Regions from separate parts of the Mus musculus genome. Here region 1 is reported to be linked to region 2. Evidence: microRNA targets listed by miRTarBase, many of them from high-throughput screens and not tested one by one. Region 2 holds a microRNA gene; the other region holds the end of a gene's coding sequence.

The links. The annotated mature microRNA mmu-miR-146a-5p reads UGAGAACUGAAUUCCAUGGGUU and lies in region 2 at 2,250-2,271, opposite strand. An mRNA with a match to its seed (bases 2 to 7 or 8) in the 3' UTR can be bound and repressed. Matches are read on the target gene's strand: a 7mer-m8 pairs with bases 2 to 8, a 7mer-A1 pairs with bases 2 to 7 and ends in A, and an 8mer does both.
Region 1: the mRNA of Traf6 is a reported target of mmu-miR-146a-5p. Seed matches in the 3' UTR shown: 8mer at 1,211-1,218, 8mer at 1,275-1,282 and 8mer at 2,087-2,094.

What each region holds. Positions count from the first base shown.
Region 1 is chr2:101,696,749-101,701,003 of GRCm38, forward strand. It overlaps Traf6 (TNF receptor-associated factor 6), which reads left to right. Exons shown (of 7, transcript NM_001303273.1): 7 at 1-4,255. The coding sequence ends at 751. Among named protein-coding and RNA genes, the nearest start is that of Traf6, 20 kb to the left of the region's middle.
Region 2 is chr11:43,372,186-43,376,767 of GRCm38, forward strand. It overlaps Mir146 (microRNA 146), which reads right to left and starts at 2,276; the gene lies at 2,212-2,276.

The DNA of each region.
Region 1 (4,255 bases), not on the chromosome of region 2:
CCTTGCTTTGCGTCCGTGCGATGCCGCCTCTCCATCCCGGGGATGTCGTCCAGAGGACCCAAATTATGAGGAAACTATCAAACAGTTGGAGAGTCGCCTAGTAAGACAGGACCATCAGATCCGGGAGCTGACTGCCAAAATGGAAACTCAGAGTATGTACGTGGGCGAGCTCAAACGGACCATTCGGACCCTGGAGGACAAGGTTGCCGAAATGGAAGCACAGCAGTGTAACGGGATCTACATTTGGAAGATTGGCAACTTTGGGATGCACTTGAAATCCCAAGAAGAGGAAAGACCTGTTGTCATCCATAGCCCTGGATTCTACACAGGCAGACCTGGGTACAAGCTGTGCATGCGCCTGCATCTTCAGTTACCGACAGCTCAGCGCTGTGCAAACTATATATCCCTTTTTGTCCACACAATGCAAGGAGAATATGACAGCCACCTCCCCTGGCCCTTCCAGGGTACAATACGCCTTACAATTCTCGACCAGTCTGAAGCACTTATAAGGCAAAACCACGAAGAGGTCATGGACGCCAAACCAGAACTGCTTGCCTTTCAGCGACCCACAATCCCACGGAACCCCAAAGGTTTTGGCTATGTAACATTTATGCACCTGGAAGCCTTAAGACAGGGAACCTTCATTAAGGATGATACATTACTAGTGCGCTGTGAAGTCTCTACCCGCTTTGACATGGGTGGCCTTCGGAAGGAGGGTTTCCAGCCACGAAGTACTGATGCGGGGGTGTAGCGTCCATGTACTTGTGTTCAAAAACTAGGAACCATATGGGAAAACCGTGCCTTCCATGCCTGGCCCCAGTAAACAATGTTCAAACAAGCAGTGGGAGAGGTGTAAGGCCTAGCAGCAGATGTCATCAGTGAGGTCACGAGCCACTTCTTACTGTTAACAAATACCTGAGGCAGTTCCCATGGGAACCTACATGTCCCCTGTATCTTCAAAACGTCAACATTTGAAGGGCCTGTGGCTCATCTGTCTGTCAGGGTACCCCTTCACTGTGCTTCCATGGGCTATTTTGTCCGTGTACTTTACTGTAAAAAAGGCCAGACTTAGCGTGCTGCAGCTCAATCGTTTAATAAGACCGGTGCCTTAAAAACTTGAGGGGTTTTTAGGACACTGATTACTATATTAAACATGAAAATCACCACTGCCTGTGCTGGTGCCAGTAGAGAAGTTACCGCTCTGGTGTTGAGTTCTCATTTAGTTGACTCCTGTGAATTTCAGAGGCTTTGAACCATGATCCCTGGAAGGCTTAAGTTCTCAAGTACTCCCTCCTCTATAGTTCACTAAGGATCCAGGGACTGGTTTAACCCTTACTTAGTGTGAATGTATTGTCCACTGAACACCAAGCATCCCCCACTACTTTCCTGTTTTGAAATATGCTCCAGGCGGCCTCTTCCCAGTCTGTAAGACCGCGGTCATGTGCTTGCCAACTGCTGAGTGTTACTGCCATGGAACCTTTCTTGTCTGTCCCGTGCAGCTTGGTTTCCACAGCCGGTTGCATATCTTCTGTTGCTTGCAAACACAAAATCACCAGCCCAAACGAGTGATTTAGCTCACTAGCCATTAAATGGCATCTCGTGGATGATGACAGCAACTCTTACAGCCAGGAAACTTCAGCCCCTCTTAACTAGCTTTTGATTTAGCTTATAAGGTTAATTGAAATAAAATTGATTTTTCTCAAGGGGTTGGAGAATTGGCTCAGTGGTTAAGAGCCTTGGCTGCTCTTCCAGAGGATCCCCAGTCTGTAACTCCAGTTCCAGGGCATCTGACACCCTCATACAGACACTCATGCAGGCAAAACACCAGTGCACATAAAATTAAACAAACAAATAAATAAATAAATTGATTTCCTCAAAACAGAATTTATTGGAACTTGGGAAATTGTAGGTACCTGAGAGATGCCTAAACCAAGGTTGGCTATCACGGTTGTGTGGACACTCAGCTTGAGTGGTGGCTTTGTCCAGCTCAGTAGAGGTTCTGATCTGTGACCCTAATGTGGAGAGGTGACTGTCGTGCTGCTGTGTATTTGTTAATGTCCTGTACATATACAGTACTTTGGAGTCTAGTTCTCAGGGAGCCCTACGACTAGTTAGAGCCTTTGTAAGGAAGCAGAGGGGATCCTCTCCTGCTGTTTACACAAGATCAGCTATGTGTTCTGGTGGTAAGAAAGGCATCCGTGCCTTCAGCTGAATCAGAGACCCGAGCAGTGCTCTGACCTGCCCTGTTCCCAGAGAACGCTCAGAGCCTCCACCAAGGAGTCTGTTTCTCAGCTGTAGCCAGCCAGGGCCACTTTGACCTCTTCATTTTCCCCTGCTTCCATCCTTCCCCTATAAAGGTGAGGGGAAGACCTTGTCCCCTACCATTATCACAAGCTCATCACAGGTCTCTTCTGTTGGATCCAGGAAATGTGTGTCCCTTAGCTGTGCCTCCAGCAGCCCTGAGCTGCTTGTAGCAACTTCTGCCTAAGGAGCACTGCATGGTCTTATACTGTAGTTGTTTCCCAGTGGAGTAATAAATGTGGGCTTGTTTGTTGTTTCTTTAAAGCAAGCAGTAGCTGTGTCTATATTTATTTAGAAATTGCCTGAAGAAGATTACTCAACTATTTGAAGACTTATTTTCTATATGCCTTTCTTAATTTTTTTATGTTATATGTCACCACAAAAATATGAACTCCCCAACCCCCTCTCCGTTTTTTGAAAAAGGAAATGACATTTAAGAACTTCCTCATCAGATTTCTCTTTTTAAAATATCTGTATTAGGAAGAGCAGTCGTTTCCTGCCGTGGTTTTGACTTTTTTTAAAAAAAACTCTAACATCTTTTAAAGTTTTTTTGCATAAGTTAAACTGTTCCCAGCTTTAAATTGTCCTCCCTATAGGGCAAGTTGGACTAGGTGTTTCTAGTATCCGCATTGAGAAGCCCAGTGCTGAGCCACAATACTCACTAAAAGGCTTTCCCCGTAGAGGTGTGACTGCCCCTAACTGCTAACACGGATGGTTCACTGCAGTGTAATGTCCATCCGCTAGAATACACCTCAGGTAGTTTTAGAACTTGCAGCATTTGGTGTTTGTAATAAGCCAACCAGTTACTTTATGTTACTCAATTGCCACGAATGCAGAGTAAAACTAATCAAGCTGACATTCAAGGTCAACACTTAGTAAGGTCAACTCAGGATCAAGTCTTAGCCTAGAAAGCCGCTTTCTTTACTTCACCACTTTCTGAACATTCTCTTTGTACCAATGGGCCTATAAGAATCCGTATAGTCCAGAGTGCATTGGCCATCTTTCCTTACCAATCTAGAACACTGCTGAATTTAAAGTTGTTTCTTCTTAGAAAAATGCCTACCTTACTATTGAAGATTTTTCCCCAAGTCATATATTTCCCTCTTAGAAATCAGGCCAGACGGCAGTTCTAGTTTGGAAGTTGGTTACAGTCCTTTGGCTGTTACCATCTCTAGCCATTCTGCTTTCTTCTGGAGAATGAAGAGGAGAAAAGTGCATTAAAGTACAAAAGGTGTCCTCTCACCCTCGGAAGATCAACTGACAGGTGTTGGATGATCTCCAACAAGTAAATTTTGTGACCAGTATAAAGTTGAATTTGTACCAATATCAAACAAAGTCTGACCAATGTAAATTATGTGCACAATTAGAATATCTTCTCCTTAAGGAGAGGTTGCTTGTTTCTGCTTTACCTGGAGTTTCCTTCTTTCGCATGTGACTGGAAAACGTTTTAACTTTAACTATCGAGGTGATTCTTACTTAAGACTTTGAAGTGCTTTTCTCTCTTTTTCTGTCGTTAACACACATCTTTTCTTGACTTGACTCAAATTCTCGCCATTGTTACAGTTTTTTATGGGGTGTTTGGTGATTAGTTTGCTGGCTGCCTTGAGGGAGTGAACAGGGCACGGTCAAGCGTCGTTTGATTGTCTGTTGAAATACTCTTTAAATGTCGGCATTCTCAGGGTAACTGTCATTTGTTTCAAAGTTGATGTGATTGTCTGGGAAATGGATGGATGCTTCCCAATTCCCAGAATCCAGAAAAATGAAACCAGATGTGATCAACCTGAACTTGGGACACTCTCGGTCACAAGCGTTGAAGTCACTCAAAAAGGACTAAGCTAGTTATTTCTCTGTGGGTCCTCTGTGTCTTTGATGTTTTAAATTGCTCAGCCCCGCCCCAATAAATAAATAAATAAATAAGAAAAGAAAAGAGTTGTAGTTTTTCACATTGTGGAAT
Region 2 (4,582 bases):
CTTAAGGTTGAGTGTTCTGCGGTCTCTCATTCTCTGCATATACTCTGGCTCTGGATCTCTACTTGTTTCCATCTTCTGGAACAGGAAGCTTCTCTGATAATGACTGAGCAAGGCATAGATTTGCTTCTCTGGCTACTATGGCTGAAGATTTCCCATTGAGTCTGGTTCGGATTTTTTAATTTGACAACCATAGCTCTTTGGTATCAACTTGACAAGATCTGAAATTATCTAGAAGACATAGCTCCAATTATCCCTAGGAGGGGTTATTTAGATCGAGTTACCCCTGGAGGATGCCTGTGAGGTGATTAAGTTAATTGATGTAAGAAGAGCCACCATAAAGTAGGGTGGCACCCTTCCCTGGGTAGTGTCCTGGACTTCATGCAAAGGAGAAAGTGAGCTGTGCGCATCTGCTGCTCTCCACGGCTTGTCTGCCGAGGTCATGTGGCCAGCAGCTCTCAAGCTTCTCATGCTATGACTTCCTCCATGATGAACAATACCCTTGAACTGTGAGCCAAAATCAACCATTATTTTTGCCAGGCCATTTTATCATAATAACAGGGGAAAAAATCCTTTTGTTGATGTGTCTATATTATGGAGATGAGGCTTGGTAAGATTCACTGAGATCGTATAGGCAAAGCCCTGGATTTAGGAGTCGATGCACAGTAAACACCTACGTTCCTCAGTTGAAAGACTGAGCATGTGGGTGCTGTACAGTCCCCCATCTCATGCTACCTCCCTCTCTTTTCATTCAGAGACAAGAGTAAGAAGGAAATCCCAGGACACCAAGACGTAGTGATGAGTCAAAGAGGAGTTCCCAAAGCACAGGGCACATTCCTAATTCCCCACTAATTCAAAAGCTTAATAAAGTCCAGATAATCAGCAGCAGCAAATCAAGCCCAACTCTCAGAAGAGACCCAACATGCTTGGTGACAGAGGTCTTTATTGCCTCTCTACAAGGACCTGAGCCCCATCATTTAATAGACTATATGTCCAAATAGACTTTCTAAGGCTTCTTAATCCTCATCCCTGGAAGAAACTGTCAGTTACAGTGGAGTGTAATTACAACTTCTTTTGTCTTGTTTGGAGGTACAAAAGAACACTCTACCCCTTGTTTGCTTAAAGTAGGCAAGAAAGCACAGGTTCAAATAAAAGGGATGAGGGGCTATAAGAAGGATGTGTTCTTTATCCTTTTTTGCTACATATCTGAAAAAGCAGCCAAACACCTCAGCAGACCATGCTAAAGGATAATTGCCACATACAATTAATTCCATCTGGTCCCATAAAGAGACTGGGAAATCACTGCTTGGCAATCCTGTGTCTCTCAAGCTTCATTAAAGTGGTGTTTCCCATGAGTCTCCTATAACAGCATGCATAGCACTTAGTCCCCTTCATACCTGACTCATCCTAAATCATGGAAATGTAAACAAGAGTCACAGCAGCAAGAACCACTCAGTGAGGCTATTTATAGGATGCTTCGCTTTTCCCAACCGGAGGAGGAATTGCCATACTATATTGCTTAGCACTGTCAACCTGACACAATCTTGGATCATTTAGAAAGAGTGTTAGTGAGGGATCATCTCGATCAGGTTGACCTATGTATATCTGTGGATGGATATATTGATTATATTAATTGGCATAGGAAGATCCAAGCCCACTGTAGGCAGCATCATTCCCTAGGCAGGTGATCCTAGACTCTTTAAGTGTAGAGAGGGGGTCAAGTACAAGTAAGCATATATATTTTTTCTCTATTTTTTTCCTCTTTGTTGAGACACAATCTCACTATATAGCTCTGGCTAGCCTGGAACTTGCTCTGTACATCAGGCTGGCCTACCAGAGAGCCACCTGCCTCTGCTTCCAAATTTCTTGGAGTGAAGGTATGTGCCACAATGTTTGGCTCTCTTTTTCTTCTTGACGATGTATGAGACGAGCTGCTTCAAGTTCCTACTTTGTCTTCCCTATAATGATCAGCTGTGACCTGGAATTATAATCTAATAAACCCTTTCTCCCCTAAATTGTTTTTGTCAAGATATTTTATCAGAGCAACAGAAATGAAATTAGAACACACATCAATCCAACATGACTCCCTCCGGTGCCAGCAGTTCCACGCTTCACCCCACTCTCTCCACTCTTCAAGTTCCTTGGCAGACTATGAAGGCCTTCAGAGTTTGTTCCAACCAGTGTTCTTCAGGTCCGTGATGACAGAGCTATCCCAGCTGAAGAACTGAATTTCACAGGTCTGACATTGATATAACCCATGGAATTCAGTTCTCAGAGCTGGGGATACACACAGACTCTCCAGATGAGGCCTTCCTCCCAGGCCAGATCCTGCCAGCCCTGTAAAAACACAAGAGAAATCTCTGATAAATCCAAAAGCACGGCCTCTGCAGACTGGACACTCTTGATGCATAAGGATCTGGGACACAAGATAGGCAAGTTCATAAGCAATCATTAAACATGCTGGGCATGTGGTGCAAGCCTGTAATCTCAACATTCATGAGCCTGCAGCAGGAGAAATGTCAGTTTGAGGCCACCCCATAATCCCAGCGAAGAAGAAGGTGCATCAAGAGGACTGCTGGTCCAAGGGCAGCCTGAAGTACGTAGCAAGATTTTCTCAAAAGCAATCAGGAACATGACAGATGGTCTTTCCGTCCCCACTGTGCCCTCATACATGTGCCCCTGGCCTGGAAAACTGCCCTCAACGCCTATTCCTCCTGAGGCTCTCACCTACTGAATCACCTCCTCAGCAAGACCATCAATAGCAGAGATGACTGGATTGTCACCCTGTGTCTCTTCTGTGTTCACCGAACCCACCACCCCTCCCCCCCACACACCGTGTACACACACTCCTGGCACAAAGGCCCCATTTCCTAGAGTGACCCAGTTCTACATGGAGACAGAGCGCACAGTACAGCTGCACCCACACCATGCAATGTGGGCCATGCACCACCCATGATAGGGCAGGGCATGGCACTAGATGATCTTTGAAACTGTATTTCTTCACGTCAGCAAGAGCAGGACCTTCCCCTTTTCAAGCCACTGCTATTTAGGCATCTGTTAGAATCATTGAGTGTAATAGCCTCACTAATACCTCGTCTCCGTTCCCCAGTGATACCTGCCATTCTCCTGTGTCATGTTCAATCCTTCCCTTCATAGTTATAAACTAATTGATAGAGCCTTTGATGTCATTGTTGATAAATACTATCTCCCAAACAAGACTATATTTTCACAGGGGCAGAGCCCATGCTAGTGCTTTTTTTTGAAAGTATATAAACAACAGCTCGGCAAAATGGAGCATTCCTGTAACCCTAGCACTCTTGAGGTTAAGGCAGGAGGATTTCTGTGAGTTCAAGGTCATCCTGGGTAGCATTATGGGTTCCAGACCAACTAGCATTATAGAGTAAGTCTCTGAACAAAAGACCCCCCTACAACAACAAGTAATTTTTTTTAAATAATTGTAACTGTTTCTTTGAAATAGAACTCACGACTATACAATTTACCTACTCATAAAGGATAAAACTCAATGGCTTTCAATATTACCATGAAGTTGTTTGATAGCCACCATAGTTAATCTAAGAATGTTTTAATCATCCCTAAACTACATGCTAATCACATTTACTCCTGACTTCTATACCCGACCTCTAGGCCATGTAAATACATATTATTTCCACTTTTCCTAAATATTTATTTTTTATTGTTTATTTTAAGTATGTGTAAGTGTGTGTGTGTGTGTGTGTGTGTGTGTGTGTGTGTGTACATGAATGCAGGTGGCAAAGGAGGCTACAGAGTCCCCCTAGAGCTAGATTTACAAGTTGTTGTGAGCCACCAACATGGGTTCTGGGGAGCAAACTTGGCACCTCTGCAAGAACAGTCTGTGCTTTTAAACACAGCCCCCTCTCCAGCCCACCTCTGCTCTATCTCAACTACAAATGCTTCTAGGGCCATTCCCAGCTCTGTGCTGATAGATGCTGTCATTTCTCTTGACTCTGTAACTCAGAGTAGATGGTGGGGTTCCATTACATCCATGTCTCTTTAGAGAACTCTCACACTCTCCACTAAAGCTGCTCCACCATTTGACATTTCCTCCGCCAGGGTCTGGGGGTTCCTTTCTCCACAGCCTTGCTATATGGCCTGACTTTTTGATTGTAGTTCTCCCAGCAGGTACAAAGCGGTGCCTCACTGTGGTTTTGATTTGCCTCTCCCTGGTGGCTAATGAGGTTGCGCACCTTTTCATCTATTTACTGCATTTGCACAGCTACTTTGTTCAGACAAAAAAAAAAAATTCACATATTTTGCAACTTCTAAACTGGGCTGTTTGTCTTTTTATCATTAAATTATAAGAATTATATTCTAGATATATCATATGATTCATATTTCCAGGGGGGGTTCTGACCCTATAAGCTCACTTTTAACTTTTTTCATGTCGGAGTAGGGAGTAGGTGTTGGTTCCATAATATTATTTCCAGCTTCTAGAACACACTTGGATCATAGACACAGTCCAGAAATTTTTTTTCAAGAAAGGAGACAGAGTAAATGCTATCCTGGGTTCTTAAATTCATTTTCCTACACCCTCATTCCCATGGTG